Linked DNA regions of Struthio camelus. The protein of the gene in region 1 purifies or fractionates together with the protein of each later gene. This does not show direct contact. Links are inferred from orthologs where the notes say so. Each region holds a gene or a part of one and is shown in the gene's direction. Other genes may lie near its edges.

Evidence for each region.
Region 2: the proteins of TMEM259 (region 1) and TMUB1 purify together in Homo sapiens (affinity purification with mass spectrometry; 3 studies listed by BioGRID, with this or other methods). This does not show direct contact. The link is inferred for Struthio camelus from reciprocal best matches to the Homo sapiens genes TMEM259 and TMUB1.
Region 3: the proteins of TMEM259 (region 1) and ERLIN2 purify together in Homo sapiens (affinity purification with mass spectrometry; 3 studies listed by BioGRID and IntAct, with this or other methods). This does not show direct contact. The link is inferred for Struthio camelus from reciprocal best matches to the Homo sapiens genes TMEM259 and ERLIN2.
Region 4: the proteins of TMEM259 (region 1) and SRPRB purify together in Homo sapiens (affinity purification with mass spectrometry; 3 studies listed by BioGRID and IntAct, counting the BioPlex papers as one, with this or other methods). This does not show direct contact. The link is inferred for Struthio camelus from reciprocal best matches to the Homo sapiens genes TMEM259 and SRPRB.

What each region holds. Positions count from the first base shown.
Region 1 is NC_090967.1:7,317,478-7,324,788, forward strand, and holds the start of TMEM259 (membralin), read left to right. Parts: upstream 1-4,306; 5' UTR 4,307-4,544; coding exon 4,545-4,760; intron 4,761-7,311. Other genes in the region: phospholipid-transporting ATPase ABCA7, read left to right, coding at 158-220, 312-418, 510-651, 730-864, 947-1,050, 1,142-1,234, 1,350-1,593, 1,677-1,823. UniProt on the Homo sapiens protein: May have a role in the ERAD pathway required for clearance of misfolded proteins in the endoplasmic reticulum (ER). Promotes survival of motor neurons, probably by protecting against ER stress.
Region 2 is NC_090943.1:449,604-456,583, forward strand, and holds TMUB1 (transmembrane and ubiquitin-like domain-containing protein 1), read left to right. Parts: upstream 1-4,969; 5' UTR 4,970-5,037; intron 5,038-5,193; 5' UTR 5,194-5,215; coding exon 5,216-5,628; intron 5,629-6,021; coding exon 6,022-6,376; 3' UTR 6,377-6,471; downstream 6,472-6,980. UniProt on the Homo sapiens protein: Involved in sterol-regulated ubiquitination and degradation of HMG-CoA reductase HMGCR. Involved in positive regulation of AMPA-selective glutamate receptor GRIA2 recycling to the cell surface.
Region 3 is NC_090968.1:6,909,584-6,916,752, forward strand, and holds the start of ERLIN2 (erlin-2), read left to right. Parts: upstream 1-4,161; 5' UTR 4,162-4,218; coding exon 4,219-4,325; intron 4,326-4,435; coding exon 4,436-4,517; intron 4,518-4,680; coding exon 4,681-4,727; intron 4,728-5,494; coding exon 5,495-5,556; intron 5,557-6,521; coding exon 6,522-6,647; intron 6,648-7,169. UniProt on the Homo sapiens protein: Component of the ERLIN1/ERLIN2 complex which mediates the endoplasmic reticulum-associated degradation (ERAD) of inositol 1,4,5-trisphosphate receptors (IP3Rs) such as ITPR1.
Region 4 is NC_090950.1:2,691,195-2,698,655, forward strand, and holds the start of SRPRB (signal recognition particle receptor subunit beta), read left to right. Parts: upstream 1-4,456; 5' UTR 4,457-4,512; coding exon 4,513-4,627; intron 4,628-4,785; coding exon 4,786-4,880; intron 4,881-5,265; coding exon 5,266-5,343; intron 5,344-7,157; coding exon 7,158-7,240; intron 7,241-7,461. Other genes in the region: TF (serotransferrin), read left to right, coding at 98-282, 1,157-1,343, 2,141-2,175. UniProt on the Homo sapiens protein: Component of the signal recognition particle (SRP) complex receptor (SR). Ensures, in conjunction with the SRP complex, the correct targeting of the nascent secretory proteins to the endoplasmic reticulum membrane system.

The sequences.
Region 1 (7,311 bases):
GTGGGAATCCTCGGTCCGCCCGCGCCGCCCCAGCCGCAGCGGCATGGCCCGGCGCAGCCCGCGGGGACGTGCCGGCACGGCGGGCGAGGGGGTCCCCGGAGCGCGGGGGTCGCCCAGCCAGGCGGGTCCGTGCCGCAACGCGCTCTCCCTGCTCCAGGTGTACTGGCGGAGGAAGGTGCCGGCGGTGGACCGGCTCTGCGTGGCCATCCCCCCCGGGGAGGTGAGGGACGGGATGGGGATGTGGGGGGCTCAGGCACCCCTGGGTGCAGGCACGGATGGCTTTTGCCATTACCCCCATCTGTCCCGCGCAGTGCTTCGGGCTGCTGGGGGTGAACGGTGCCGGGAAGACGTCCACCTTCAAGATGCTGACGGGGGACACGGAGGTGACGCTGGGGGAGGCCTGGCTGAAAGGGCACAGGTGAGCGGGCCAGGGGGTCGCGGAGGGGCTCGGCCAGCGCCGCGCCGCTGCGTGCTCGCCCCCGCCACGCTCACCCCTTCCCGCTCTGCAGCGTGCTCACTGACCTGCAGTCCGTGCACCAGAACATGGGCTACTGCCCCCAGTTCGACGCCGTCACGGACCTGCTCACGGGCCGCGAGCACCTGGAGTTTTACAGCCGCCTGCGCGGGGTCCCGGAGGAGGAGACGTCCAGGGTGAGGCGGGCAGCCGGGAGCCCCAGGCACCCTGTGCTCAGCTCCCCAGTGCTCAGCCCCTCACCGCTGCTCTCGCAGGTGGCTCAGTGGGGCATCGCCAAGCTGGGGCTGGGGCCGCACGCAGACCGGCCCGCTGGCAAGTACAGCGGGGGCAACAAGCGCAAACTCTCCACGGCCATCGCTCTCATCGGCTGCCCGCCCGTCGTCTTCCTGGTCAGTGCGGGGCCGGGGGGCCGGCGGCTCCGAGGGGCTCCTGGCCCTGCTCCTGCCCCGGGTCACCCTGCTGCCGTTGCAGGATGAGCCCACGACCGGGATGGACCCGCGCGCCCGGCGGTTCCTCTGGGACTGCATCCTCAGCGTCATCAAGGAGGGCAGGTCCGTGGTGCTCACGTCGCACAGGTGAGCTGGCCCGAGCGCCCGGGTCCCGCAGCCTGGAGGATGCCCCTGCCCGCCCAGCCGCGTGGGGGCCTCACGCCTGCCCTGCCCGCAGCATGGAGGAGTGCGAGGCGCTGTGCACCCGGATGGCCATCATGGTGAACGGCCGGTTTCGCTGCCTGGGGAGCGTCCAGCACCTCAAGAACCGGTAACCCAGGACGGGGACTCGGGCACGGCCCGGCGGCCAGGGGGAGGCAGCCCTGCCAGGGCAGCGGCGGGGCCGGAAAGGCCTCTCCAGCGCTGCCTCCCTCTTCCCACGGCAGGTTTGGGGACGGCTACACGGTGGTGGTGCGGGTGGGCGGCCCCGGGCCGGCGCTGGAGCCGGTGGAGAGCCTGCTGCAGCGCTCCTTCCCCGGCATCGTGCTCAAGGAGCGGCACGGCGGGTTGCTGCAGTACCAGCTGCCCTCCCGCGCCTGCTCCCTGGCCAGCGTCTTCGGCGTCCTGGCGGCCCAGCGCGGCCCGTGCCGCATCCAGGACTACTCCGTGTCCCAGACCACCCTGGACCAGGTGCGCCGGGCGTGGAGCCATGGGCAGGGATGGGGACCGCAGGCACTGCCCCGTCACCGCCGTCACCCTCCCCGTCCCCGCAGGTGTTTGTGCACTTCGCCAGGGAGCAGAGCGACGAGGACCCCAGCAGGGACCCAGCCCCGGGGCAGGACCCGGCCCCGGCACCCGGCCCCGCCACGAGGCTGCCGCCATTCCTGGAGGACGAGAGCTGGCAGGAGAGCGTGGTCTGACGCGCGATGCTGGGGGCCGGTGCTGCCGGCAAGCCCCGGCACCCCAGAGCTGCGCGGGGGGGGCCTGGCCACATCCTGCCCGCTCCCCCGGGCACGGGGCAGCAGCCCCACGGGGAGGTCCGGGTGCCGGTGGGCTCAGCGCGGCCGGGTGCTGGGGCTGGCCCTGGGACCCGTCTGCTTTCTGCTAGAGGAGGAGCTGGTGTAAAATAGTAAGTTAAATAAAGATACACAGCGCTGCTCCGGGATCGGGCTGGTTTTCCTGTGCAGCGCTGCTGGGGCCCGGCGGTCGCTCCGAGGGCTCAGGACGAAGCCGGGTCCCACGTGGGGCCGGTCCTGCTGCGACGCTCCAGCGCCCAGCGGCTGCCGGGCCGGGGCGTTGCAGCGGGGAGGCCGCGGGCCCCAGGCTGGGCTGCAGTGGGGGCAGCGGGGGGGCCCGGTGCCTTGCCCCGCGTCGGGGCGCTGCCGGTGCTGGCGCTGCTCCGGGCCCCGCAGCTCCCCGGGAGCCGCGTGGTCGCCAGGAGCGGCCGAAGGTCAACCAGGATCGTCCTCGCCGCGGGATGCTCCCCGGGCCGGGGCTGGGCAGGCAGCAGGGCCGGGCGGCAGCAGGGGGTCCTGCCCCCCAGGGCCCTTCTCCCACCCTCCGCGCGGGGCTCCTGCCTCTTCCTCTCCGTCTCCCTCCGCGGGTGCCCCCGGCACGGGGCCGGGTTGAGCCCCTCCGTGCCCGTGGCCACGCCAGCCGGCTCCGTCAGGGGGCCAGCCCCGAGCAGGGGGACCCGGGGCACCACTGAGGCTTTGGGGCCCCCGTCTGCTCCCTCGGCCAGCGGCACCCGTCTGCGACGCGCGGGGGACCACGTACCTCCCCCGCGGGGCTGCCAGGGTGGGAGGAGGCAACCCAGGTCCGTCCACACGAAACGGGGCGGCTGCAGCTGCCCTCTCCGGCTGCTCCGGGGCGCCGAGCCCCTGGGGCATCCTGCCGCGTGCTGCGGGGATGCTCTGGCCGGGGCCGCCCGGGGGGGGCTCAGGGGCGCCAGGGCTGAGCCGAGGAGCACGCGGGCAGCCCCGCGTCCTCTTGCCTGTCCTGCAGTGCCCGGCAGGATCCGGCCCTGCTTTGCACGGCGCAACCAAGCAACGACGCAGGAACGAGGAACCAGCTGCTCCTAGACCGGGGGGGGGGGTTCGCCACCTGCACCCAGGGCTCTGCCTGCACCAGCGGGGCAGCTAGTGCCCGTTAAGGTGGCACCTGGGCGAGGAGGACTGGGCCGGGGTCTGAGCACAGCCCGAGCGAGGTGCAAATCCCCCGCCCCCGCCGAGGTCTCTCCTGCCCCTACGACACCTCCCTGGAGCCGTGGCTCCCTGCACCGTGCCCAGCCCGCTCAGGAGCCACCTTTGCGGCCCAGCCTGAGGTTTCCCGTGCCCAGGACAAGCCGCAATGCAGCTGGCTCATGCCACACGCTGTGCGCGGCTGCGGGCCCCCCACCACCCCGGGCAGGGCACCCCCAGCCCAAGGCTCTACCTCCAGCTGCCCTTTGCCCAGGGTGGTGGGGCGAGCACCCGCGGCAGCATGGGCACCCTGGGGAGCTGCATGGGGCTGTGGTGCACCCACGGCTGCGGTGCCCACGTGCACCCATGGTGCCAGCACACAGGGGTGCTTGCCCCAGGCTCCAGAACCCACCCGTCACCCATCCCTGTGGGTGACAGACGCGGCTGCCCCTGTCCCCAGCTGGGACAGAGACAGGTTGCAGCTTCCTGCACAAGGCACTAAACCCAGACCCAAAGAGCCATCCCGGGGAGGGAGGAAGCAGCGACGGGTCCAAAAATATGGAACGCTTCACGAATTTGCGTGTCATCCTTGCGCAGGGGCCATGCTAATCTTCTCTGTATCGTTCCAATTTTAGTATATGTGCTGCCGAAGCGAGCACGAATCCTCACTCTGCCGCTGAGCTATTTAAACCCCCAGTGTTTTATACTTTTTTGGTCAGGGAGATTTTTTTTCTTTCTTCACATGTTCTCGCTTAAAGAGTTGCATTTTAAACAAGTTAGCTTTTTCTTAGTGCTTGGCATCCTTCGGAATCGCAAAAATTTGGCCTTCTACGACGCGGAAGCGCAGAAGAGTGAGGCCAGCGCTGCGCGATGCATGGCGGGAGTCCTCCGCTTTGCATATGCCGCTGAGGAGGCGGGCCGGTCCTCCACCGTCCCAGAGTTCCCTTGTGGGGCGCTGCTCTTGCGTCGTCGCGTTGTCGCCGTCGGTGCTAGGGGCCGGCGGAGGAAGATGGCGGCGGGGCGGTGAGGGGCGTCGAGAAGGACCGAGGCGAGTGCGCGAGCGAGCGAGAGGCGCCCGCGGCTCTCCGTGCCGGGCCGCCGCTGGTAACGGGCCCCCCATGGCCGCGGGGCCGGCCCAGGAGCCGTGTCCCCGCCGGGCCTGCTCGGGCCCCGCCGTTCCCGGGCCCCGCCGCGCCGCCGTGGCCTGGCCCCGGCCCGGGCGCCGCCAGGCTTGACCCGCTCCCGCCGGGACCCCGCCTCGGCGCGCAGGAGGCCGGGCCGGGCCCTGGGCACCGACCCGTGCGGGCAGCGGGGGCGCCGCCTGCCCGGGAGAACACTTGGGCCTCCCCCCGGGCGAGCAGGGCCCCTCCGGGGCGGCGAAGGAGGAGCGGCCCCTGCGACCGGCGCTCGGGAGCTCTGCTCGGGAAGAGTGCCAGCTCGCTCCCTGCCCCCGCGGTCAGGATGTCCGAGAACCAGGCCAATGCCAACAACACCGGGGGCGGCGCGGCTGCCGGCGCGAACAACCGGGGTGTCCGCAATCCCAACCTCAACCAGAACCCCTTGATCAATGTGCGCGATCGCCTCTTCCATGCCCTCTTCTTCAAGATGGCAGTGACCTACGCCCGCCTGTTCCCACCGTCCTTCCGCCGTATCTTCGAGTTCTTCGTTCTCCTCAAGGTGAGGGGCAGCAGTGTGCCTTATTGATCGCTTTTAAGCCTGTAGTCAGGCGTTAAGGCATAAATTCCCTCCGTGTAACTTACAGCTCCGCCCCCCTGCCCCAGCTCGATCCTGCTCCTCTGCTAGGAGCACAGCCTGGTTTTGAACCATCCAGACAAAGTTGTCCACTGAGTTGGCATGCGCTCCTCTTTGGTGAGGAAGAAAAGAATAATTACAGTGATCTTTGGCAGTCCACAGAACACCAGAACTCTTGTATGGGGTCTATATATAAAAAGAGGGTGCAAATCGCTAATCTGGCTTGATGGATAGTTGGTCTAGCATGGATTAAAACCAGTGATAGGGGTATGAAAGGCTTCTGATTCCATTTCCAAGTAATCACTCTTTTCGGGTGTATGGCTTATTCAAAATATTTGATGGTTGTATTGCTAAAGTCTTGTCCTTTCTAGAAGTAATTAATGTACAACCCCCCCCCACCACGCGCGCACACTTTTTTTTAGTGGTCAACAACCTCAGCTATCTGTGGACAATGCCACACCTCTGCCTAACTAGGTAAAAAGCTGCCTGCGATTTTGTTGATGTGGGTGCAGGTTTGGGCCCTCACAGAGAGGGCTAACGTTTACGTGGGATATTGAAGCTGAATTCTTCTTGGGACTACCAGTTAGATCTTCCAAATTAGAATTGAAGTGCATTGGTCACAATGGCCTGTTGCTGTCCACCTGGCCAACTGCTCTCAAGCTGCTTCCAGGTCTCATGCTGACACTTCTCACTAGTGCCAATTACAGGAAATTAAGAATAAGGGGAAGAGGGGAAAGGAGGTTGCTAAGTGACAATGGTGTGCTTCCGTTATGAGTTTCTAAAATTCAGCCAATTTAAAACAAACATACATTGAGGACACCTTGTCTCATACCACACATATGTTTTCTCTACCAAATACAAAGTGAGAGCCTTTTCATGATAACATAACAAGCATGATATGACAGTGTACTTTTGTAATGCTCTCTTTTTGTCTGGGAAACGTTCAGGTTTACCACCCCCCCACCCCCCCCAATTGTATAAGTGGATTCAGGCAGACTGGAGACTGGAAATGGGATGACGCTAACCACTAGGCTGTCAGGTGAAATCAGCGGTGCTCGCCAAGCTAGTATCAGTTCTTTCTGTTGCGTGTTTGGATCAAAGCACACCTGAGGAGATAAAAGTATTCACAGGACATCTGCAGAGAACAGTCTTTTTCCAACCTTGGTGTTGCAAGTCGTACTGATTTAAGGCAGACTTTAGCAGGCGGCGTGGTCTCAGTTCTCTGTACATAGAGTATCCAGTAGGAGCTTAACTTGGACGCCGTGGTCCTGCAAACTGCTGGTCAGGTGAATCCCTGAAACTGCTTATGGTTCTGTTGGCCTCATCGTGGCCAACAGAGACAAGAGAGAGATGTTCACATAAGATGTTGTTAGATTAGAGAAAAGGTGGGATTTGCTCTGTATTAATGGTAGTCCTGCCCTTTTTCTAATTTTCCTTGCTATGCAGCTCCTCCACAGATCTGACTCTTTTACCAATCTGTTTATTCATAGCAAGTAGGTCAAGAAGAATGTGTAGCAAGGACAGATAGTTTACTTAAAAATAAGCACCTTAATGCAGTTGCAAAATGAATGTATCATATGTAGCTGTACTGTTTGCTGCGCTAGAGCTCCTCCAAATTCTGAGCTGTGAACTTTGGACAGTACTGGTTTACATCATGCTAGATTTCTTGTCTTTACTATAAGGAATAGACTTTATTAGCCCGCTTCATTTTACTGTGACTTCATAGCTATTCTCTTGATTGAAAAGCATCTTCTGACTAGTTATGAAATTGGTATGCTCCAGCCTGAAAGTCTTTTTGAAGTTTGACAAACTAGTAACTAGTAGTCTGATGATTTGTCTGAATTTTAGGTCAGCAGACATACTTGTTGCAACAAGTGGTTTTATTTTAATAACAATATCCCGTTGCTGGTACCGGATGGTGCTCTTGGACTTAATTGCATTGGTGTGATAGGCAAGGACTTTCTCTCTAATTGGTGGGCTTGGTTATGTGTAAGAGAGACCTCAGCTTGGACTTGCTTAAAACTCTTGAGATAGTAAAATGTTGCTAAGATAGAAAAACAGCTATTTCCTGGTAATCAGCACAGAGATTTGCCAATTTAATGAAAAATACTCCTCTGCAGCTTTAAACAGGTACTCTTCCAGTGTCTTGTATCATGTTGGGGATCGCAGACTTAGGTTAGTATATAGTGATAGCGCTAGAAGGAACAGGATTGGACCATCTTACAGTCTATATTGTCTTGGGGGGTTCAAAGCCTGCAATATACCTGAATAATATTCCAGTCTCGTGTAGAATATTCTCAGCTTTCAAAGCCTGGGATTCTTTTCAGTTGACTACCTATGATGACAGGGTGGCCTGGCAGGAGAGGAATGGAAGAGAAGTTTGGGTTTCTTATTAAAAATCTTTGAGAGGGAGAGCCATGTTGCACTGAAGGGTTTGCATGCTGAAAGCTCTGAGGGTATCCGGTGGTTGGGTCGG
Region 2 (6,980 bases), on another chromosome or scaffold:
TAGGCTTTGTCCTTTGTTGCATGCCTACATTTAAGCCTTGACACTGGAAACTGCTTGTGTGGGTAGTCCACCTTCACACAGCGAGCTGCAGGACCGTTTGTCCTGCAGGACAGGACAATTTGCAGAAGGGATTCATTCCTCCTCCACCCCTCCAGGTACACCCTTCCCCAGGAGGACATGGGGGCCCCGGTCGCTGGGAGCCCGGGAGCGCCGCGGCCCTGCTCCAGCCCAGGCAGCTCTGCGTCTCCGCAGCTTGCCCCACGCCAGTGGGAAAGCGAGAAGGGCTCCTCGGAGACCTGCTCCCTCCGCGGGCTTGTCCAAACTGCCACGTTCGGTTTGAGGGCTCTGCATTTCCCCAGGAGGTTTTGTCAGAAACGCTTCCGCAAGCCCGACCGTCCAAGGCTTTTGTGTCCCAGAGGACAACCTGTGGTCATCTTCTCTCTGTTAATTATAGCTTATTTAAATCATTTAGTAGCAGCAAATAATACATTTTGATTCTTCACCGTGTTTTTTCTCGTCTTCCTCCACTAATGCTCTGCTGCCCTCAAAGCTTTGTCTTTTCTTTACTCATTTATTCAGCTCCCACTTACCCCTAGTGCAAGTGCATGTCCTCCTGTGTCTGTGCTAGCCTCTCTCTGTCCCCTGAACCGGTGACACCAGTTGCTGGCTGCTGCCCGCAGAGAGGGCATGGCCCGGCCCCTCGATGACCGCCGCGGCCCTGAACAGGCAAGTGTCCAGCGCTGCTTCCTCCGCGTGCTGGTCACCCGCGTGGCGGTCGCCCTCAGCAGCCCCTCCGGAAAAATCGGGGCACAGCTTTGTAATTGGTGGGTGGGCGATACCAGCCCGCGCTCCCTCTGCCCCTCGCCGTGCCCCGCCAGCACGCTGCTCTCCCCCCTGCAGCTCGGCAGCACCGCGGTCCCCTCCGCAGCCGCCCGGCCCCAGCCTCGCTCCGCCGAGCCGCCCGTCCTCCCCCCGCGCTCTCGTTTCTGGCCCAGCTCCCTTCCCCACAAGACGCTGCCACGTCTTTGACCGGGGCTGACACCTCTCTCTCTGTTGGTAGGAGGTTTTGAAGAGCAGTTTCATCTGCAGAGGCGTTCAGCTCGCTCACGTCTCTGCTCCCACACACCCCGAGCATCGCTGGAGGCACTGAGGATGCTAAGGAGAGTCCTCCGTCCCGCCGCGATCGTGGCGCCAGGGGCATCTGCCCCCTGCCACCGCCCAGGGAGCGAGGAGGAGAGGGACCAGCACCGGTCATGAAGCTGGAGCTGGAAAAGGTGCAGATACAGACCAGACCAGGGATGCTCCAGCGTAAAACGACTGAACCTACAACTTCCCATTGTGCGGTGCAGGCTCCAAGGCAAGTTATGTCAGGAGGCTGCATCCTTCCTCTGCCGGAGAGCGCCGTTCTCCCCGTAGGCTTCCAGGAACTGAGGATAAGCAACAACGCCGCAGCAGCCTATTTTTAATTCTGCTGTGCGCGCTAGAACTCTGCTTTGGCAGCCCCGCTTTTTAGCTCTCCCAGTGCTATTTGCAGGTCATTAAAGACTTCACTCCTTGTGATCACAGCAGGACGAGCCCTGCTCTTGAGTTTTGTAGACAGCTGTACCCTGAAAATAAATGTTATGTTTGCAACACCTCCTGTCTCTACTTCTGCACACAAAACGGGATTAAAACATTATACAACTGCTAATGCTAACACTACAATTACATTTCCTGGAGCTTTAAGACCTCCTATCCTACACCTCATCAATCTGCATTGCTGCGCTTTGGTGATAAGCTGAAAGCAGTGCTGAAGAGTGCAGATCAGGCCTGAAGGAGGCAGGGGAGGAGGTGGGAACCTCGGTGCCCAGTTCTGCCACCCCTGGTTCCCCACCTGAATCTGGATTTCAAGCAGGGCCAGGGTCAGGAGGCCCAGCCCGTACCCAATCCCATAAACCAACTGGTCCTTCTGATCTGGAAGCAGTTGGGAAACGGGAGCCTAGAAGTGAGAAACTAATGAATTCCTCTGAGCCCCTTGTGCCCTGCAGTCGCTGCCACGCTCAGATCTACCGCAGCAGAACGGATGCTGGAGTTTGCACGCTGCCGCACAGGAGTGTTTCCAAAGCTTGATCTACTTTAACAGTTTCCTTCTGATTTTATTATAAAAATGTACTTATGCCACTGTGGAAAAAGTGATAGATCCTTGGAGGTGATGCACTGGAGAAAGCGGATATTGTCACCCAATGATCTCCTTTCGGCTTTGTTCTTTTATGCATGCTATGGATTTTTTTCTTCCACAAGTCTCCTCCATTATCTGATTTTGAGGGGACAAGTCCTTTCAACTTCAAAGTCTGGAAATTTTGATCAAATCCTTTGTTCTGCATTTAAAATTATTTGAATGTTTTTCAAGGACAGAAAATTTGAGTTCCTAGCATAGTCTGAAAGTTCTTCTTCAGGTTTAATACCAGATACTAGCTCAGTCCAGAGAGATTTTAAGACAAACTTTTTGAAATATCTTTGTTTATAAAAACTAAGCTGGAGACAAAAACTACTCCAACTAACTCTTAATCTGTCTCTCAAGCTTTCCATCTTAATGAATCTCGCAGCTACGATAATAGTATGTAAGGGGAACCACAGAGTCCCTCCAAGGATCCTTGTAACTTTGTCAGTTTTAGTCTGAAGCCTCTTCCGTTCACCTCCCTCTTGTATCTCTGCACCGTATAATCCATTTACTCTCTGCCAGACACCATTTCTTCGCTAAAGCGTGACTCTTGCCAAAGACGGACTCTGCCTGTGGAATTTGCTGTCCTTGGCTAATTGCCAATCTTGTTTTCTATATACAAATTAAAGAACAGAATATCAGTTCAATGATAAACAAAAATAGTTTAGCTTTTAAGCAGAGCTGATGACTTCATGATATTTCAGTTGCATGAGAAATTTAATCTAGAGAGTTTCCAAGAACATCATTGTCCCTAGGAGCAATCCTGGTCTTCCAGGCCTCCCAAAGCGCCACCGCCTTGGTAGCGCCACTGCGTCGCCAGTGTTTATGCTGACACGTGAACTTAAACGTTCTTCCCTTTGAGCCCAGACCCAGCTGCCGCGGCTGTTGCTTGTAGCACCTCCTTTGAGGTGCCCTGGAGCATGATATCCCCTTTGGTTGGGCTCAGTAACGCTGAGAACTTTCAATAGATGATGGCTGAAAAGAGAAGAGTCCTGCGATGGTGCATGATGACCTTCTGCCGTGTTTCTTCTCACCATGCTCGCCTTCCGCAGGCCACTGTGGGAAAAACGTGTCTCGCCCAGCTTCTGATTTCTGCAGTGAAAGCACCTAGCTGCCTGGGAGACCAGAAGAAGGCACATACATAGGAAGAGAGACGAGGAGCATAGCTAGAACCATCACGGTAGCAGTGCCTTTTCCTGGCTGTGGACCTGCCAGGTCCACATGGGGCTTCCTAGCAGAGCTTTCACTCGTGACAACAGCAGGCAGCCGCAGTACGCCTCTCCCGGCGGTGGGCCAAGGAACCCACTGCGGTCAGGGCGTCCCAGGGGGCTTGAAGCACAGCAAGCCCTGAGGGCTGGCCAGGGAGAGCGAGGAAGGACAGAGCGCCCCGGGGGAAGGAGGACAGAGCGCCCCGGGGGGGGAAGGACAGAGCGCCCGGGGGGGGAAGGACAGAGCGCCCCGGGGGAAGGAGGACAGAGCGCCCCGGGGGGGGAAGGACAGAGCGCCCAGGGGAAGGACAGAGCACCCCGGGGGGGAAGGACAGAGCACCCTGGGGGAAGGACAGAGCGCCCTGGGGGGGGAAGGACAGAGCACCCCGGGGGGAAGGACAGAGCGCCCTGGGGGGGGAAGGACAGAGCACCCCGGGGGGAAGGACAGAGCGCCCTGGGGGGGGAAGGACAGAGCACCCCGGGGGGAAGGACAGAGCGCCCTGGGGGAAGGACAGAGCGCCCCGGGGGGGGAAGGACAGAGCGCCCCGGGGGGGGAAGGACAGAGCGCCCTGGGGGGGGGAAGGACAGAGCGCCCCGGGGGGGAAGGACAGAGCGCCCGGGGGGGGGAAGGACAGAGCACCCCGGGGGGGAAGGACAGAGCACCCCGGGGGGGAAGGACAGAGCGCCCCGGGGGAAGGACAGAGCGCCCGGGGGGGAAGGACAGAGCGCCCGGGGGAAGGACAGAGCGCCCGGGGGGGGAAGGACAGAGCACCCGGGGGGGAAGGACAGAGCACCCGGGGGGGAAGGACAGAGCGCCCGGGGGAAGGACAGAGCGCCCGGGGGGGGAAGGACAGAGCGCCCGGGGGGGGAAGGACAGAGCACCCGGGGGGGAAGGACAGAGCGCCCGGGGGAAGGACAGAGCACCCGGGGGGGAAGGACAGAGCACCCGGGGGGGAAGGACAGAGCGCCCGGGGGAAGGACAGAGCGCCCGGGGGGGGAAGGACAGAGCGCCCGGGGGGGGAAGGACAGAGCGCCCGGGGGGGGAAGGACAGAGCGCCCCGGGGAAGGACAGAGCACCCCGGGGGGAAGGACAGAGCGCCCGGGGGGGGAAGGACAGAGCGCCCGGGGGGGGAAGGACAGAGCACCCCGGGGGGAAGGACAGAGCGCCCCGGGGAAGGACAGAGCGCCGCACTCTGCAGCCCCGTGTCCCTGCCTGCCGGTCTGGGCCGAGGCCCGGGCACCCCCCGTGCTGGACCCCTCGGCCCGGCCCGGCCCGGCCGATGCCGGGACCCCAGAGCCGGCTCGGCCCCCCGGGGCACGGGGCCTCGGCGCGGCCCCCCGCCGCCCCGCTCACAGAACTACACCTCCCGGCATGCCCCGCGCGCCCCGCGCAAACCCTCCCCCTCGCGCATGCGCCGCGGAGGTCGCCGCGCCTCCCGGCCCGCCTTGCGAGCGGGCGGGAACTACCCGCCCCGAGAGCCCGTGCGCGGGGCGCGGCCAGGACTACCGCTCCCGGCATGCCGCGGGGCGGGGCGGAGCCATCCCGTCGTGCCTTGCGGCGGGGGCCGGTTCCCCCGGCCCGGGAGTCCGCGCGCGGGGCGGAAGTGGAGCGCGCCGGGATGGCGGCAGGTGAGGGGCCGGGGCCGGGGCCGGGGCCGGGGCCGGGGCCGGGGGGCGGCGGCGGCGCGGGCTGCCGCAGGGCGGCGCGCCCGGGAGCAGCGGGAGTGCGGCGGCGCCCCTCGGCGCCTTCCGCCGCCGCCTCACGGCGCTGCTGTGTGCCCGCAGGTCGGTAGCCGCCGCCGCCGCCATGGCGCTGATCGAGGGCGTGGGCGACGAGGTGACCGTGCTCTTCGCGCTGCTGCTGGCCGCCGTGGTGCTGGGGCTGGCCTGGGCCTCCACCCGCGCCCCCGAGCCCGCCGAGCCGCCGCGCGGCCCCGCGCCGCCCCGCGCCGCCCCGCCGCTGCCCGAGCAGGGCCCCAGCGCCGGCCCGCCCGGCGGCCAGCCCAAGGCGGCGGCAGCGGCGGCGGCGGCGGCCCCCGATGGGCCCGGCGGGCTGGCGGCGGGGCTGCGGCCCCGGGCCGGCCCCGGGCCCGCGCAGGACGCCCCCGGCGAGGCGGGCGACCCCGCCGACCCCACCATGGTGCTGCGGCTGAAGTTCCTCAACGACACGGAGCGCCTGGCCCGGGTCCGCCCCGGCGACACCGTGGGGGCCCTGAAGAGGTGAGGAGCCGGGCAGGCGGCAGCCGCCCCGCTCGTTCCCTGCTGGCGGCTGTCCGGTTTGCCCGCCCCCAGCCCTGGTTTCTCTTTCCTGCCCTTCCTTGAAGTCGCTGTGAGCTCGGAGCTGCTGCCGTTTGGGCTCGATCCTGCCCGTCTCGGGATACTCGGACAGCATGTTCTAGCGGGCACCTTTGATCCTAGCAGCATGTCTGACACGGCTGAGGGCAAAGCCTGGAGGAGGGGGGTGCAGCCAGGCTTCCCGCACTCAGGGCAGATGGCGAGCATGTTTGCAGCCTGGTCTGGGGTTGGGGGGGAAATACTAAGGCAGAAGGTAGATGGGAGGGACTGCGTATTGGTGGAAGCATGACGTTTCTCTCCTTGTCTTCTCCAACCCAGGGCCTATTTCCCAGGCCAGGAGCAGCAGGTGCGGCTGATCTACCAGGGCCAACTGCTGCGAGATGACGCTCAGAGCCTGGCTGCCCTGCACCTCACCCACAACAGCGTCCTGCACTGCCACATCTCCCAGCACAGCCCGGCCCCTGCGCCCACCGGCCCCCACACTTCTGCTGACCCCGTGCACACAGCCCTCAACGTGGGCAGCCTCATGCTGCCGCTCTTTGTGCTCATGCTGGCTGTGCTCTGGTACTTCCAGCTGCAGTATCGACATGTCTTCACTGCCACTGCAACCACCTTCTTGGCTGGCCTCACCTTGCTGTTCAGTTTCATGGCCTTCACCATGTACCGCAGATAGCATTATCCCTGCACCCCTGAAAGGATCCTACAAGCCCTCCTACCTGGGAATAAACTTTGTACTGGGTGCAGTTTGCCCACTGCACCTGAACACGAGGGGGAGTCTGGGCTATTGACTACGTCTCCTGGTTTTTCTAGGGGGACTGTGTAACAGACTCGCCGGATCTGAGGGAGTCCGATCAGGGCTTGAGCCCTGACGTCTAGCCTAGGAGGTTGGCAGTCTGTGGCCCGTGTTCTGTAGTCCTTTGGCTCCTTTCTCTTTATGGCAGAGGGAGAAGGGGTGCTGCTGTAAGGGAGTCCCTACCTGGAGCCTGGCAGTGCTAGTTCTGTGCTACTGCCGGAGCCTTAACTGTTGCAAGTGCAAAGTGTTGTGCTACCTCTGGGGAGGGGAACTACTATATTGCAAGGAGCAAGTTCCTCTCTAACAGGAGGGGTTGAGGTGTCTTGAAGTGGTCCTGTTGGCCCCTGCTAAGAGGAATCCTGCTGTGCAAATGGAGCCCGTCCAAGCTCACCTGCCCCCATCTGCTGTTTGCACGTGTTTTGTGCGCAGGCTGGGTGCTCCTCTTCACATGCTTGCTCATCCACAAACTTGTGTATGGTGTAAG
Region 3 (7,169 bases), on another chromosome or scaffold:
AGTCTCGTGCATGCTTTGGGAAAATCCACTTTCTTCCCCTGGAGAAATTGCAGTTTCTAAGTGCCGTTAGTCATTTTCCTTTAAAAAACCAGCATGAGGGGCTGGAAACATTGCTCCTTTCTTTCCTGGGAAGATGACCTGGCATCCTGGCATCCGGCCACGGGGCTGGCCTCGGGAGCACCAAGGGGAGGAAAGCCTCCGTCCGGGCAAGGTGCCCTCCGGCGGTGCCAGGCCGCGGCGTGTCCCCGGTGCCCGACGCCGCGCGGCGACTCCGCCGGGATGCTCCGCGTCCCCGTCCCGTCCCGTCCCGCCCGGGGGGAGCCAAGCTGAGCCCCGCGGGGCCGGGACGGCGTGCGGCCGGGTGCGGGAAAGCGCAGTGCGTCGTCGCCCTTTTCCCGGCGCCGCGAGGCTCTTCCGGCGGGGACGCTCCCGCGGGAGCTCGCCCGGGCCGGCGGCCGTCCCGCAGCGCCGGCAGGGCCGCGACGCCAGCCTTGCTCTCCGCGCGCCCTCCGCGCCCCTCGAAATACCTCTGACATGAAATAAGCCTCCTTATCGCCCGGCGAGCGGGGCGCCGGCAGGCAGCGAGTCAAGGAAAACTCTCCCGGCCGTGATTGCGGCGCGGGTGAGCGGGGGCACGGAGCGCAGGCGGGCCCTTCCCTGGTTTCCAGCGCAGGACTGTCAGCGGATGATTAATGGCTAACGCCAGAGACCTGCCTGGATTGCCAAGTGCTGTATTGTTAGCGCTGACATGTAACGAGCCCGGACATACTTTAACACAATTCTGCACCGTAATCTGCAAATAACGTTTGATAGACTTAATTTGTTAAGTATTTTTCCCTCCGCCCCCACCCCCTCTCCCCACTTTCATTCCCTTTCACACCCCAGCGCGCAGGGACCCAGCCAAGGGGCCGCCCGGCCATGCCGAGCTGAGCCGAGCCGAGCTGAGCCGAGCTGAGCCGAGCCGAGCTGAGCCGAGCCGAGCCGAGCTGAGCCGAGCCGAGCTGAGCCGAGCCGAGCTGAGCCGAGGCGAGCCGGCTTTTTATGCCTTTCCAGCCCTGCACACGTTCGGCTCGCTGCAGAGCGCTGCATTTCACCCGGGTGTTTGCAGCCAGTGCCAGCTGCCAGGCTGCGGGACCCTCCAGCCTCCTGCGACCGGCCCGTGCGCGCGGGCAGCTTCTCGCCGCGGTGCCCGATCCCGAGCGTGCGGCCAGGCAGGAGGGAGGCCGGCGGGCGCTGCCGAACGCTTCGCCCCCGCCCTGGCTGCCATCGGGGCGCCTTTTCCCGCGGTGCCGATGCCCCAAGACCGGCAGCGCCGTGGGAAGCGGGTGCTGCTGGGAGCCTCCCGGCAGCCTTCTGGCAGTGCCCACTCCGCGTGCCCGGCCGCACCGCCGCTTGCTGCATGTCTCCACGGGGAGGCTTCTTTTTTTTATTTTTATTTTTATTTTCCACCGCTGTTCACAACTGTCAGGCGGTGATTAATGGCCAGCAGGTCCGAAATTGCCTTTATTGCCAGCTCGGCATTGTTGCCGGTGACAGTTAACGAGGTTGGACAGAATTCTACACCACGCTTTACGTGGGGTCTCGGATTTGCCTCCTGCAGAGCTTGCCGCCGCCGCCAGCTTTTGTGCACAGAGCGACAGGAACAGCCCCGTTCCCGGGCCAGCGGGCACGGCCTGCGCCCCCGGTCCGCCCACTGCAGCCCGCTGCTGCCCTGCCAGCTGCCTGTCTGTCCATCCAGCCAGCCGTCCATCCATCCGGCTGTCCATCCATCCGTCCAGCTGTCCATCCATTTGGCCGTCCATCCATCCATCCGTCTGTCCATCCAGCTGCCCATCCATCTGTCTGTTCATCAATCCATCCATCCGTCTGTTCGTCCATCCATCCATCTGTCCGTCTGTCCATCCATCCGTTCAGCTGTCCATCCATTCGGCCGTCCATCCATCCATCCGTCTGTCCATCCAGCTGCCCATCCATCTGTCTGTTCATCAATCCATCCATCCGTCTGTTCGTCCATCCATCCATCTGTCCATCCATCCAGCTGTCCATCCATCTGTCCGTCTGTCCATCCATCCGTCCATCTGTCCATCTATCTGTCCATCTGTCCATCCATCCATCCATCTGGCTATCCATCCATTCATCCGTCCATTCATCTGTCTGTCCATCCATCCGTCCATCCATCCACCCATTCATCTCTCCGTCCATCCGTCCATCCATCCATCCATTCATCCATCCATCCATCCACCATCCGTCCATCTGTCCACCTGCCCATCCGTCCTTCCATCTGTCCGTCCATCCATCTGTCCGTCCATCCATCCGTCCGCCTGCCTGCCCGTCCTTGCCGACAGCCGCGCAGGGGCAGCAGAGAGGCGATGCAATAAAAAAATCACCCAGCTGTTGGAGGGGGGACGGGGGTGACTTTTGCAGCCCTCCTGCTGCAGACAGGCTGGAGACGGCGGCGTTAACACGGGCGCTTCAAAGACCTTCCAACTTGTCTCAATTAAACTTCGCAGTAAAACCCGCGGAACATTTTTATACGGGCTCCACGGCAGCGGGACGGGGAGGGGGATGAAAAAGTTTTCCAGTGCTGGAGAGCAGTGGATGCAATAAACCGTTTGTTCATGTAAAAAAGTCCTTGCTGTTAAAAACCAGAGAGAGTCGCAGCACAGACACCACTTAATGTTCCTGGCCCGAGGTCTGAAAGTAATGATTTTTGGCTATTTTTTTCAGGATTATTACAAATAATATTTACCTTTGTGCTAGCTCACATCTTGATACTGTTAAACACGTGGCCACAGATGGTTTCCCACTCAGGGTAATGACACAGCTCTGATGTTATGAAGTAAAACCCGGCCTGCAAGCCAGAACACCCCACATTTAAAAATCTATTACTTTCCAATATTATATGAATGTAGTTTGCTTCAGCTCAGAGCAATTTCCTAGTTTACCCTTATTAAACTGAGAGGGGGCTGAGCAGAGGTTCTTGATTTATGAAACACATACTAGATTCATTAAAACCTTTAAAGATTTAATACATTTTATCAAGGCCTTAAATCTGGGCAAGCATTTAAAAAAATCTAATACAGGGTGTATTTCATCTCTGGCGCCCTTTTGCGCTTATTTAAGAGCTGTAAAATTTGGATTGACAAATATTGCAGGTATTTCATTCTTTATTTCTAAATGGTGCTGAATCCTTCTGACAGGCTTGTTATATATAACCCTAGGAGATCTATCAAGTGTAAAGATCAAATTATTCTATATTGACATTTTATATGTCTCTCTTATGTTTTTTAAGTCCCCTTCAACAATTATAGATGCAGAAGATTTAATATATTTTTGCATGGTCTGTCACTTTTCCGATTATTGCTCCTCTGTCTGGGCCAAACACGCATCCAAATAGGGAACAGCTTTTTTTAAACCGCCGGCAGCGTCCGCCTGTTGAGCCAGGAGGAGAGGCCACGATGGGCTGAGGTGGCCTGTCCCTGTGCCTGGGGCCGGGGCACCCCATGGGGCACGGTGCCGGTGTGCGAGCAGGGGGTCAGCGCGAGGGAGAATTGGGCTTTGGGGTGCATCCTGGGACACTGGGCATGGGGCATGGTGGCCTGTCCCCGTGCCTAGGGCCAGGGCACCCCGTGGGGCACAGCACCCACTGGCCTGCGTGCGAGCGAGGGGTCAGTGCAGGGCAGAACTGGGCTTTGGGACACACCTTGGGGGGCCTGGGGACAGGGCATGGCAGCCTATCCTTGCACCCAGGGCCAGGGTGCCCTGCGGGGCCGGGGGCTGTGTGCGAGCGAGGGGTCAGTGCAGGGCAGAACTGGGCCTCAGGGTGCTGGAAACCAGGCAAGGTGGCCGGGAACGGGAACCTAGGCCCGCACGAGGGACCAAGGCATCCGGGCCTGCCCAGCCAGCACCACCGGGGCGGGAGGAGCCGCCCAGGCACCGCGGGCAGCTGGGGAGCAGCGCCGGCCGCGTCCCCGAGAAGCCCCGGGGCGCCGGGCGGCGGCGGCCGGTCTCGAACCCGGGTCTCCGCGGCGGCAGCCCCGCAGCTCTGGCGCCCCCTGGCGGCGGCGGCGGGGGAGGGGGAGGGAGGCGGGGCAGGCGGGCGGAAGCGGGCGGGCGCGCGGCGATGGCGTCACGGCGGCGGCGGGCGGAAGCGGCGCGGCGCGCGGGGCGGCGAGCGGGGCGCGTTGCCGGGGCGACGCGCGGGGCCGGGGCCGGGCCATGGCCCAGCTGGGCGCCATCGCGGCGCTGGCGCTCAGCTTCCTGGCGGCCGCCTTCCTCTCGGCCATCCACAAGATCGAGGAGGGCCACATCGGCGTCTACTACCGGTGAGCGGCCCCGCGGGGCCCCCCGTCCCGTCCCGTCCCGTCCCGTCCCCGTTCTTCCCCCCCGCTCGGCGGGCCGCGCCGCCCCTGACGCTCTCCGTTTCCCTCCGCAGCGGCGGGGCGCTGCTGACCTCCACCAGCGGCCCCGGCTTCCACCTCATGCTGCCCTTCATCACCTCCTACAAGTCGGTGCAGGTGCTGCTGCGCGGCCGGGGCCTGGGCGGGGAGGGAGAGCGGGGGGGGCCCGGCCCGGCCCCGGTTCCCCCCCGCGGGCCGGCGGGAGCGGCGGCCCTCGCGGCCTCCCCGGCGGGGCTCTGGGGGCTCCTCAGCTTTGCTGCTGAAACCTTTCTCTCCTCAGACCACGCTGCAGACAGACGAGGTGAAAAACGTTCCCTGCGGCACCAGGTGAGCTCCGCTCTCCTCTCCCCCTCGGCTCTTGGTCCCTGCGGGGCCTTCCCCTCGGTTACGCGCTCCATCGCGCTTTAAAACGCATAACTCTGTCCTGACAGACTTGTCTTCCCTCCCTGGTCCTAGCTGAAAGCGCTGAAACCCCTTCTCTAAGCCCGTGCCCAAGCCGATGTGCGGGCGTCCCGAATGTCTCGGTGCCGCTTTCCCCCGAGTTAACGTAGACAACGCTGACAGGAGTCTCCGTGATCTCGTTCTTGATCTAGTTAAGTTTCTGCTGGGAACAGATTGCGTTTCAGCTGGTTTCAGAACACTTTCCGAGCCTAATCTTTCCTGTAGCGGTCTACGTGCACAACTCTAATACTCTGAAACTTGCATTCTCTGTTTTGCCAGTCTGAAAACTGAAGCGCAGGAAGGAAGTGAACAGCTCAATGTCTCAGGAGAGCTGCAACTAGGAAAAGGACTCAGGAGTTTGCATTTCCCTATGGTAGCCACTAGTAATTGGTCTTTTCAAACCTGGGCCCACATACTGTGATCCAGTTCCTAAAGGACACTTGTAGCTAAAACCCTGAGTCTGAGACGCTGAGCGGGATGTGAGGCTTTGCTGTAATGTCGCAGCGTGCTGCACTGAGGGCTGTAAATGTTGCACTCAGCCCACTAGAGGGGAGTGTCTTCTGCTCAGCGGCCATCTGGCTGCACAAGCAGAACGTTTGGCCACTAGTAAACTTTATTTTTCTTCTTCTTTTTTTTTAATCTTGTTTTTGCAGTGGGGGAGTGATGATTTATTTTGACAGAATTGAGGTGGTGAATTTCCTGATCCAAAGTGCAGGTGAGTTCCTCCCTTTGACCCTGCAACTCCTTGCACCCAACATCTGTGTGACTTTCCTTTCCCAGGGTTCTTTGTGCTCTGCTAGTGCAAGACAAGGTTAGGAGTTTGCGCATGCTTGTGCTGTGACTGATTTGGAGCTAGGGAGTACTGCTGGTATTCCTCTGTATACCTTGTAAAGCCCCTACTTCCTGGACTTAAACCTTTTAACTAGCTTTTCCAGACATTTGTGTGTTTATTAGTTCTTGCACACGCTTGTTCTGTGTTACTAATTGCTTCACTAATACCTGCATGTCATTATTACTTTTATTAGCCGTGTTATTACAGCTGGACTGGGCGTTGTGCTTCAGTGAAGAGCTTCTGTTTTGAATAATGACATGTGCAAGCAGTAGGGGAGACGGGGAGTCCGTGAGCAGAAGGCTGGCATCTGAGGCACAAAAGGAATGACCGATGCAGTCCTTTCCTCAGACTCTCCTTGTTAACATCCTGTTGTTTATGAGTATGGTCTTATTGCTGGGCTCATCAGCGTCCTGCTTTGGAGCCTCTGTCATACTGCAACTTCAGGATCCTCTCCCCCTGCTGTGCGCAGACCCTGCGGTCTCTCTATTCTGCAAGTCAGGCACGGTCCATGTGTGCCATCTTCCTGGCAGACATTTGCACATAGTGCAGAGAGGGCTGATATGACTTAGGTGTTATTCTTCTCACAAAGCATGTGACAACACTGGCTAGAGTGTGGTGTACTGTTAGCAATAAGTAAAACTCCCCTGTCAGAATACGTGGACAAAGCGCTCGTCTGCAGTGCAGACTTCTCTTCTCTGGTGGGTGCTTTCTTGTTTCGCTGATTGGCACTGCATCTCTTGCTGTTGGTGGTGTGACTCAGCCATAAGCTTTCTACTGCAAGCATTTAGCCCCACCTGAGACATCCTCTGCACCAGCTGTTAACACTGGTTTCACTTCTTCTTTTGTAGTATATGACATAGTGAAGAACTACACAGCTGACTATGACAAAGCTCTTATCTTCAACAAGATTCACCATGAGCTGAACCAGTTCTGCAGTGTCCACACGCTGCAGGAGGTCTACATTGAGCTGTTCGGTGAGCTGCGTCTCTGACCTGTGACACTAGCTCTACAGGCTCGGTGCTGGGTTGATGGTTCCTTGAATGATGTTTCTGATAGCTGTCTGCGTGGTCTGTTGATACAGAAGTTGCTACCCTGTAACCGACGGGCTTTTACATATTAGTTGTATCTGCTCTGTTTTGAAACAGGATTGATAACCAGCTATAGTATTTACTTCTCATTACCTTCCAGTGCTGAGGGCTTCAGTATGTTGTAACAAACAAACAAAGAAAAAAAACTGTCAGAAGTAGCAGGGAGTTCTAGAGAAGCAAATAGAAATTCTGCTGTGTGATTTGTGCATTTAGCTAATGTGACTTGTTGAATTAGTCACAGGGTTTGCTAGTCCAGATGCAGAAACCAGTCCTCTGCACTTTGCTGTCGCAGAAAGTATGAACACGCGCTCACTGGCCTATAGATTTGATTAGCTTTGTGATGTGCCGTTGCTGCAGCGCCTGGCACTGTGAATGAGTGTTAGAAGACAGCAGTGCTTGGCAAAAGTC
Region 4 (7,461 bases), on another chromosome or scaffold:
TCAGTGCTTATACATGCAGTGAAAAATCAGGTGTTGTGAGGCTGACATGCTTCTGCTATGCAAGATCTCTGAATCTTCAAACCAATTCTCTTTGAAGGTGCAAATACAGACGAGTGGGCTAAAAATTTGACAATGGACCAATATGAGTTGCTGTGCACTGATGGGAAACGGGCAAATATCAGGGATTACAGGTCCTGCCACTTGGCAAAAGTTCCTACTCATGCTGTGATCTCACGTCCTGAGAAAGCAAGTAAAATCCGTGAGCTGCTGGAGGGACAAGAGGTAAGTACTGACCGTAGAAGAAATGTTCTGCGTTTGTTTTTTGCACTGCATGTTCGCATTTTTACAGCAATGATGCTCTGAGTTTCAGAGTCAGTGAAATGTGAAAGATTTTGATTGATTGATACAGGGTCACAGCTCTGCATCTCCATATCCCTTAGCTTCCTTCTCCTTCCATCCTTTCAGATCTGTATTGTCTCCCTTGCCACCTTAGCAAACACCCATAGGTAAAACCTAGATCCCACTGGGTGCTATTGCCACACTAAAATTTTGAGATGATCACAGCTGCCACCTCCTTCTGTAGCCATGTCTTTAAAAAGAGACAGTCTGCTCCTATACATGTGTTTAGGAAACTCCTCTGGGATGCTTGGTCTCTAATCCCCCTGGGTTTAGGCATGAGGCAGGCGTGGAGTTGCGTGGCCCTGGGAAGATAGCAGTCTCCTTGCACATACAAAGTATTTCATCTACTGGTGTAAAGGTAACCAGATTAAACCAGCTCTCTGGCTTTACACTGAAAATGCTGAGATGAGCTCCACCATCAGGGGCTGTTAAGAGGCACTTTGGAAGTCAGCTCCTTTTGCTTTCAACTCTTGACTGGCAGCAACTGCAAATGGGCTTTGCAATGCACTGCGTTAAAACAGAAAAACTGGTTGTTTTGGCAGTCAGGCCACAACTGCAATTACCACTGAGAGCTCAGCCATCTAACCACATGGGCAGAAGATTAAGTCCTAAATTTTTGGAGCTTGACTAAGGGCTTTCCAGGATAATGAGTTCTGCACGGTGAAGAACTTAAGACTAAGAACTAGACTTGTATCAGGCTAATTCTTGCTTTCTTTTTACTTTTTGCATGCACTTATTTTTCATGCCTTTATTTCAGAAATTATTTGGAGAAAAAGGAACTGATAAAGACAAGTTCATGATGTTTAAGTCTGAGACCAAGGACCTTCTGTTTAAAGACTTGACCAAGTGTCTGGTTAAACTCCGTGAAGGAATCACATACAAGGAATTCCTGGGAGATCAATACTATTCTTCAGTTGCTAGTCTCAATACATGCAATCCATCAGGTAATTGTAACATCTTCAGGAAGAAGTCAATGAAATGCAGTTCTTAGCCTCACAGATGTGGAGAGTGATTTCTGTTGCTGTCCATTTAATTTTTTTGAAGCAAAATGAGGATAACTCATGAAGATGCCTACTTTCCCAGCTATTTAAATGAACTGAAAATTGACTCAAAATTTGTTGCTCTAGCATCAATAGGAATCAAAGATTTTTTACCTATCTTTTGAAAATATGCAGTTTGTGAAACAGTAAAAGAACCCACCCTGCCCTGTCAGTGCATGTTCACACTGACCTGCGGTTAATACGCCTTAAAGCTAGAAACTGAGAGCTCCCCCCCATTTCACCCCCATTCATTTACTGGCTTTCCACATAAGCCTCTCCGTGCTCACTGAATACTTGGTGATTTTTTAATTACTTGAGCCAGTGCCCTGGTGTTACAGTCCCATGAGTACATCTAGTCTGCTAGGCACCAACTCATGGGAACTGTTTCAGGGAAAGATCTGGAAATTAAACATACATCTGCAAGCTCACCACCCAAGTATTCCTGCACTGTCCCCTACAGGGCTTCTGCTTGCTTAACATACAACAAGAACAGGTAGCAATTCCAGACCTTGCTCCGCTCCAGTCAGTCGAATCAGTTGGGATTGGGGGAGTTTTTCTGTGGTACGCTGGATATGTTTTCCATGCTCTGAAGTTTTTCCCATGGTTGCGTGTGTTCTAGGGGAACAGGAGCGGCTGTGTGTTTCCTGTTCAAATGAGCTGCAGGCACGGTCTGAACTTCTCCCTGTTCTTTCCCTTTTCAGATCTCCTCCAGATGTGCACCTTCCTTGCTGACTAGTAGTGGTTTGTGAGGGACCCTCGTCAAAAGGGGAGGAAACTTTGAGCCAAGACTCTTCCTTGTGTCCTCGGCATTGAACACCTACTACTCACAGAGGACCTTCTGCCTTTGCTGCTTCCTTTACCCTTCCACATCATTCTGAAAGTGGCTGTTCGAAACTTTACAGCTCTCTGCTGCCATCACAGCAAGAAATAAAAACTCAAAGTCTAAATGGGTTTTCTGAGATTTTTCAAAATATTAATTAAGCCCATTCCTTTCCCAGTACCTCTTGCTGTGCCAGATACCACTTTGGCTGTTCTCATTTAAAGCTATTGGAGAGATTTTTTTCAACATTTTTTCAAAGTAAAATGGATTAAATATACTTTAGACCCTAATTAGCAATGCTTTTACCTCGAGTTATCCCAGTATTCTAGGCAGATGACAGTTGACTGGTGTGGCTGGCATACAGGAAGAGTAGCGGAACTGAAGGGTGGAGAAGGAAAAACAAAAGAAAAGAACAAAAAGATAGCAGTCATAAGAGGGAAGGTGTGAACATAAATACCTCCATCTTGTATCTCAACTGGCTGGGTCTGAATAACGCAGACAGCAGAACTATTTCCATCAGGCAGCGCTCTCAAAACACAGTACTAAGCTTAGACTTCTTTTTTTTGAACAAGTCTAGGACTTATTTAGAAACGTGTTTTGGCAGTTCACTCTTACGTGCTGCTGACTGGAAAACAAACAAGTAGGTGGATAGCCTGATCCATGATGAAAATAAAAAGGCAAGACTAAAAAGGGCCTGCTGAGGTTCTGTGCTTCAGAGGAACAGAGACGGAAACAAGCCATCAGGTCCCACCCTTGAGGTCAAAGCAGGCATGGCAGAGCTGATCAGATTGCAGCAAAATGCTAACAGCTCTTGATTTTCAGGGAATATTTTGATGGACTTGCAGTTATGATCTCTGAAAGTCATATGGTATGTGTTGTGAAAAGTCCTCTAGCCTAACTGAAGATTGGCTTAGAAGACAGAAACGTAGAGTGTGAAGGGAAGCAATGAAATTCGGTCCTTTACATTTATGCAGGATCAAGTACATTGGACAGATGGCTTGTTTAACCTGTTTTTGAGGACTAGCAAAGATTACACAGTATGCTCTGAATGTTTTTGTGTATTTATAGAGCTTTTTGTCCTTTATGTTCCTTGCTAATCAAAACTCACTTTAGACCTTACGCTTTCTAAATCTGTATCCCACAATTATGCTATCTGCACTACTTTTTTCATGTGCTCCACTTCTTCAATTTTTCAGTGTTTTATGTTCAGGTAGTTAAAGAGCTCAGTCAGGAGTTGTGCAGTTTCTCTCCTTTCTTTTCAATGTCTCGTTGTGCATTTAATACACGCTCCTGCAGTAATGGCCAACGTGCTCCTTCACCTCCTAGACTACAATGACCCATGGAGTCTGCATCTGGGTTTGGGGACCGTTTTAATGAATCCCTGTCCTACACCCACCCTTGTAACAGTAGTTGCTCCTCTTGTTCTAAAAGTTTCCAAATGCATATTCCTCAGGCAGCAGAGAGCCAGGATGCCATTGCTGCTGCATGCAGAGGGTAGGATGAGAAGAGATCAGCTAACGGCCAGCCTTACTGACTTCCCAACAGATACTGGGGGAAATTGCAGTTTGTCATTACTAATCAATTCTATCTTTTGGATGCTTCTCGCGAGCTGCTCACAGCAGCCTTGTCCATCCGCCTCCTGCCAAATGACCAGTTGGGCACCTCTGCCCTGGTGCTTCGCTGGGCCCTGCGCATCCCCTCTGCGTGCGCGCCGGGCCCCCTGCGACAAGCACCCAGGCCTGAAGCGTGAGGCACCAGCTCTTGGCTTCCCCCTCAAGACCGCTGATGTCGGGAGCCCTGCCACACCGACTCCCCTCAGTGCCCCGCGTGGGCGCCCACATGCCACGTCCTGGCCAAGGTCAACACCTGCTTCAGGCCCAGGCCCACAGCCCAGCCCTGGCCCAGCTACTGGCCCAGGCCCAGGCCCTGACCCCGGCTCGAGCCCCGGCCCGGACCCAGGCCCAGGCCAGCGGCCCTAGCCCACCTCCCCTCCTCGGCAGAGCTGGGCAGACCCTGGACGCGCGCCGCGAGAGGGCTGAGGGCACTGCCCCGGCAGCCCTGTCTGCAGCAGTAGCCACGGGGCCCTCGCTCCTCCGCCCGCCACGACAAGGCCCGCCCAGACCGGGGAAACTACAATTCCCATGAGGCTCCGCGCGGGCCCCCAGCAGCCCCCGACAGGCCGCGCGCCGGCGGCGGCGGCGGCGGGAGGGCGGCGCTTCCCAGGAGGCGGCGCGGCCACGCGTGCGGGCGGCCATGGCGGCGGGCGGGCTGGAGCCGTACCTGGACTCGCTGCGGCGGGAGCTGCGGGCCCCTGACCCCGCCGTCCTCTCCGTCCTCCTGGCCCTGCTCGTTGTGGCCCTCACGCTGCGTGAGTCGGGCCCCTGGCCCGCGCGAGGCGCCCCGCGGGCCGGCCCCGGGGTGGGCGGGGGGCCGTGTGCGGCCCGGGGCCTGGCCCCAGGCTGCGCCCCCGGCCGCGCTCCGGTGCCGCTGGCGGCGGATTTAGGTGATTTTCTCTCTTTCTCGTAGTGATCTGGAGGTTGATCCAGGGCAGGAAGAGCGGCCGGAAGGCAGTGCTGCTGCTGGGCCTGTGCGATGCGGGCAAGACGCTGATTTTCGCCAGGGTGAGCCACGACCGGCGTCTCGCTGTGGCTGCGGAAGGAGCCAAGCTGAGGGAGAGGTGCCCGGCTTGCGCGCCTTCCTCTCTGCTGTCTGGCCCCCCTTGGTAATGAAGAGAAGGTGTTCGGGAGGATTTGCAAGCCCGCTGTCTTCCTTATTTTTAAAAGCGTGAAGATTCGAGTATAAGTGCAGATTTTCTTTCCTTATTTGGGTGTATTTTAAAATTCTTCAGGAAAAAAAAAAGAAACGGTGTTATACATGCTAAAATTTAAAGCAGATATTTGAAGTCTGTTACTCTTTACAGATCGCTTAAACTTTTGAGTGGGTGAAACGTGAAGTCCGTGTTCCTTCAGTCTCCCTTTCTTGAAAATGTTTGATTTCCCTTCACAGCTGTTGACAGGCAAATATCGAGATACCCAGACCTCTATAACGGATAGCTCTGCTGTTTACAGAGTTAGTAACGACAAGGTGAGTAGGCACTTGTTTGATGCTTCATAAACGTACACAAAATTGTACATTTTGTGCACGCCTTTGCTCCTCTGTGACTAGGGTGAAGTTGACCTCCTTTGTTAAGCTTGGCTTGGTTCTCCTGCATTTCAGTCTTCCCAGCTTGAAATCAGTCCCTAGTTTGGTCCAAGCATAGGATAGGATTTTTCTGTAATAGTCAATGCATACTGGAAAGGCAGGAAAGATGGGGAGGTATTAGAGATTCCTTGTCTGTGCAGGCTTTTTTTTTTTTTTCACTTTGCTTATCGGAGTACGAAACTTGTTCAGCTGAAAGCCACAGATGTGTTAGTTTTGGAAAGATGGGTAAGTGTGTGGGTGCTTTTTTTAATTAAGAGAAAAAGAGTTGCTTTTACAAGCAGAATAAGATATACAGTATTGTGGGGACAGGGGCCTGAACGTGATGGAACGTTCCCCTCACACATCTCCTTCCTGCTCAGTTTATTTGCTTGGCAGTGATTTCTGTCACTCCCAAGAAAATCGGCATTTAAAAATTTAAGTAGGCTTAAAAAGACTCTCCAGTTGAACTTGAGATAATCTCAAAAAACATTTGACTACTTTCAGTTTCAGGACTATGTCACAGACCTAGTTATTTGCAGTTTATGATGATCTCTCTTTAGATTTAGAAATGTTTATTTTCTTGTTGCTGGATGAACACATAGTAGGGAAACTGGCAAGCTGGCAGCATGTTAAGTGCTGGTGTATAAGGTAAACTGTAAGACAGAGAACGTTGTCTTCTGGCAATCTTCAGTGCCAGTAGTAATAATAAGAGGTTAAAAACTTAACAGAAACAAGTGCATGGCCTTTTTTTTTTTTTTTAATCAGTGTTTCTTTAAGGTTGAGCAGACAGATGGGAAATATTTGGAGGGGGAGGGGTGGAAGAATGCTGTAAGACTGCTGCTTTTGTGATTTTTTTTTTTTTTTAATGCAGTCAAGGTTTCCACTAAAATCTCAAAGCGGTAAGTGGATAGGGTCTTGTGTAGCGCTCTCTCCCCGTCTTGAGAACAACCGGAGTGGTATTGAGAAAGATGACATGGTCCTGCTTGGCCTCATTTTGACTAGGAGTGTATGTGAGAGATTCTCTTTAATGTCACTGCTTTGTCTGAGAGCGTGTGGAAAGAGGCATTCACTGCTTTCAATTCAAAAAGTGCCTTCCAAGGGCATTTCTTCTTGTTATTCCCCCAGATTTATGTGTATTTAGGTAGAATTGTAGTTGGATAGATCTTCTGTGTGTGTGAATGCAGATATCTTGATTCGGCGGTTGTGAGATCAGCATTATCTATTAGGAACTTACAGGACAGGAAATTGTGATTTTGGTGTGCAGAGATCTTCTTGCTGCCAAGATACAGCGTAAATCTGCTGGTGCATTGAGAAAGATTACTCTGATGAAGCTTTGTCCTTCATGCTATGCCTGTAGGTTAGTTGAAGGGCAGATATTGTGAAGGAGAAAAGGATTGGGCGTTCTCTTCTCTCTAAGTCATGCTCTGTTCTCTCTGCTCTGCTGGATGGTTTGCTGGTGTTGGCTGCCTGCTTACCAAGTCTTGGCCATGAATGTCACTCCTCAGCATTTCTTTTGCCTGTTGGAATTGTTTGGGCTGGGGAAAAGACTGCATTTGGGAGAGAGTCGTATGCTTCTGTCCCGTATGGAGGTTCATCAGCTCACATCTGTCCCAGCGCCAAGCTAACTGGGATCTGCTGTCAGACTGTTTTTTTCCAGGCCTTGAGCATATGTACTACTAGATCATGTGTTGGTAATACCTTCTTTCTTCTGTGTCCAGAGTGCCAATGTGACCTTGATCGACCTTCCAGGCCATGAGAGTTTGCGGCTTCAGTTCTTGGAGAGGTTCAAGGCTGCAGCCAGGTAACTTGGAGGAGGGGGCAGGTGATGGCATTGAGATGTGATGTGCTGTGAGCTGGGCTGGATTCACCTCATCTGGTGGTGCCCTGATAGTCATTAGCTGTGCCTCGTGGTGGTGGGAGTTGGTCACTGTTCAGCTTTCCTTACTTACCTGAGTTTGTAGTGGGTCAGAAGGCAAAGGAAGTGCAGCTAGGAGGGTCAGGGGTTGTGGTATGTCCCTGGGA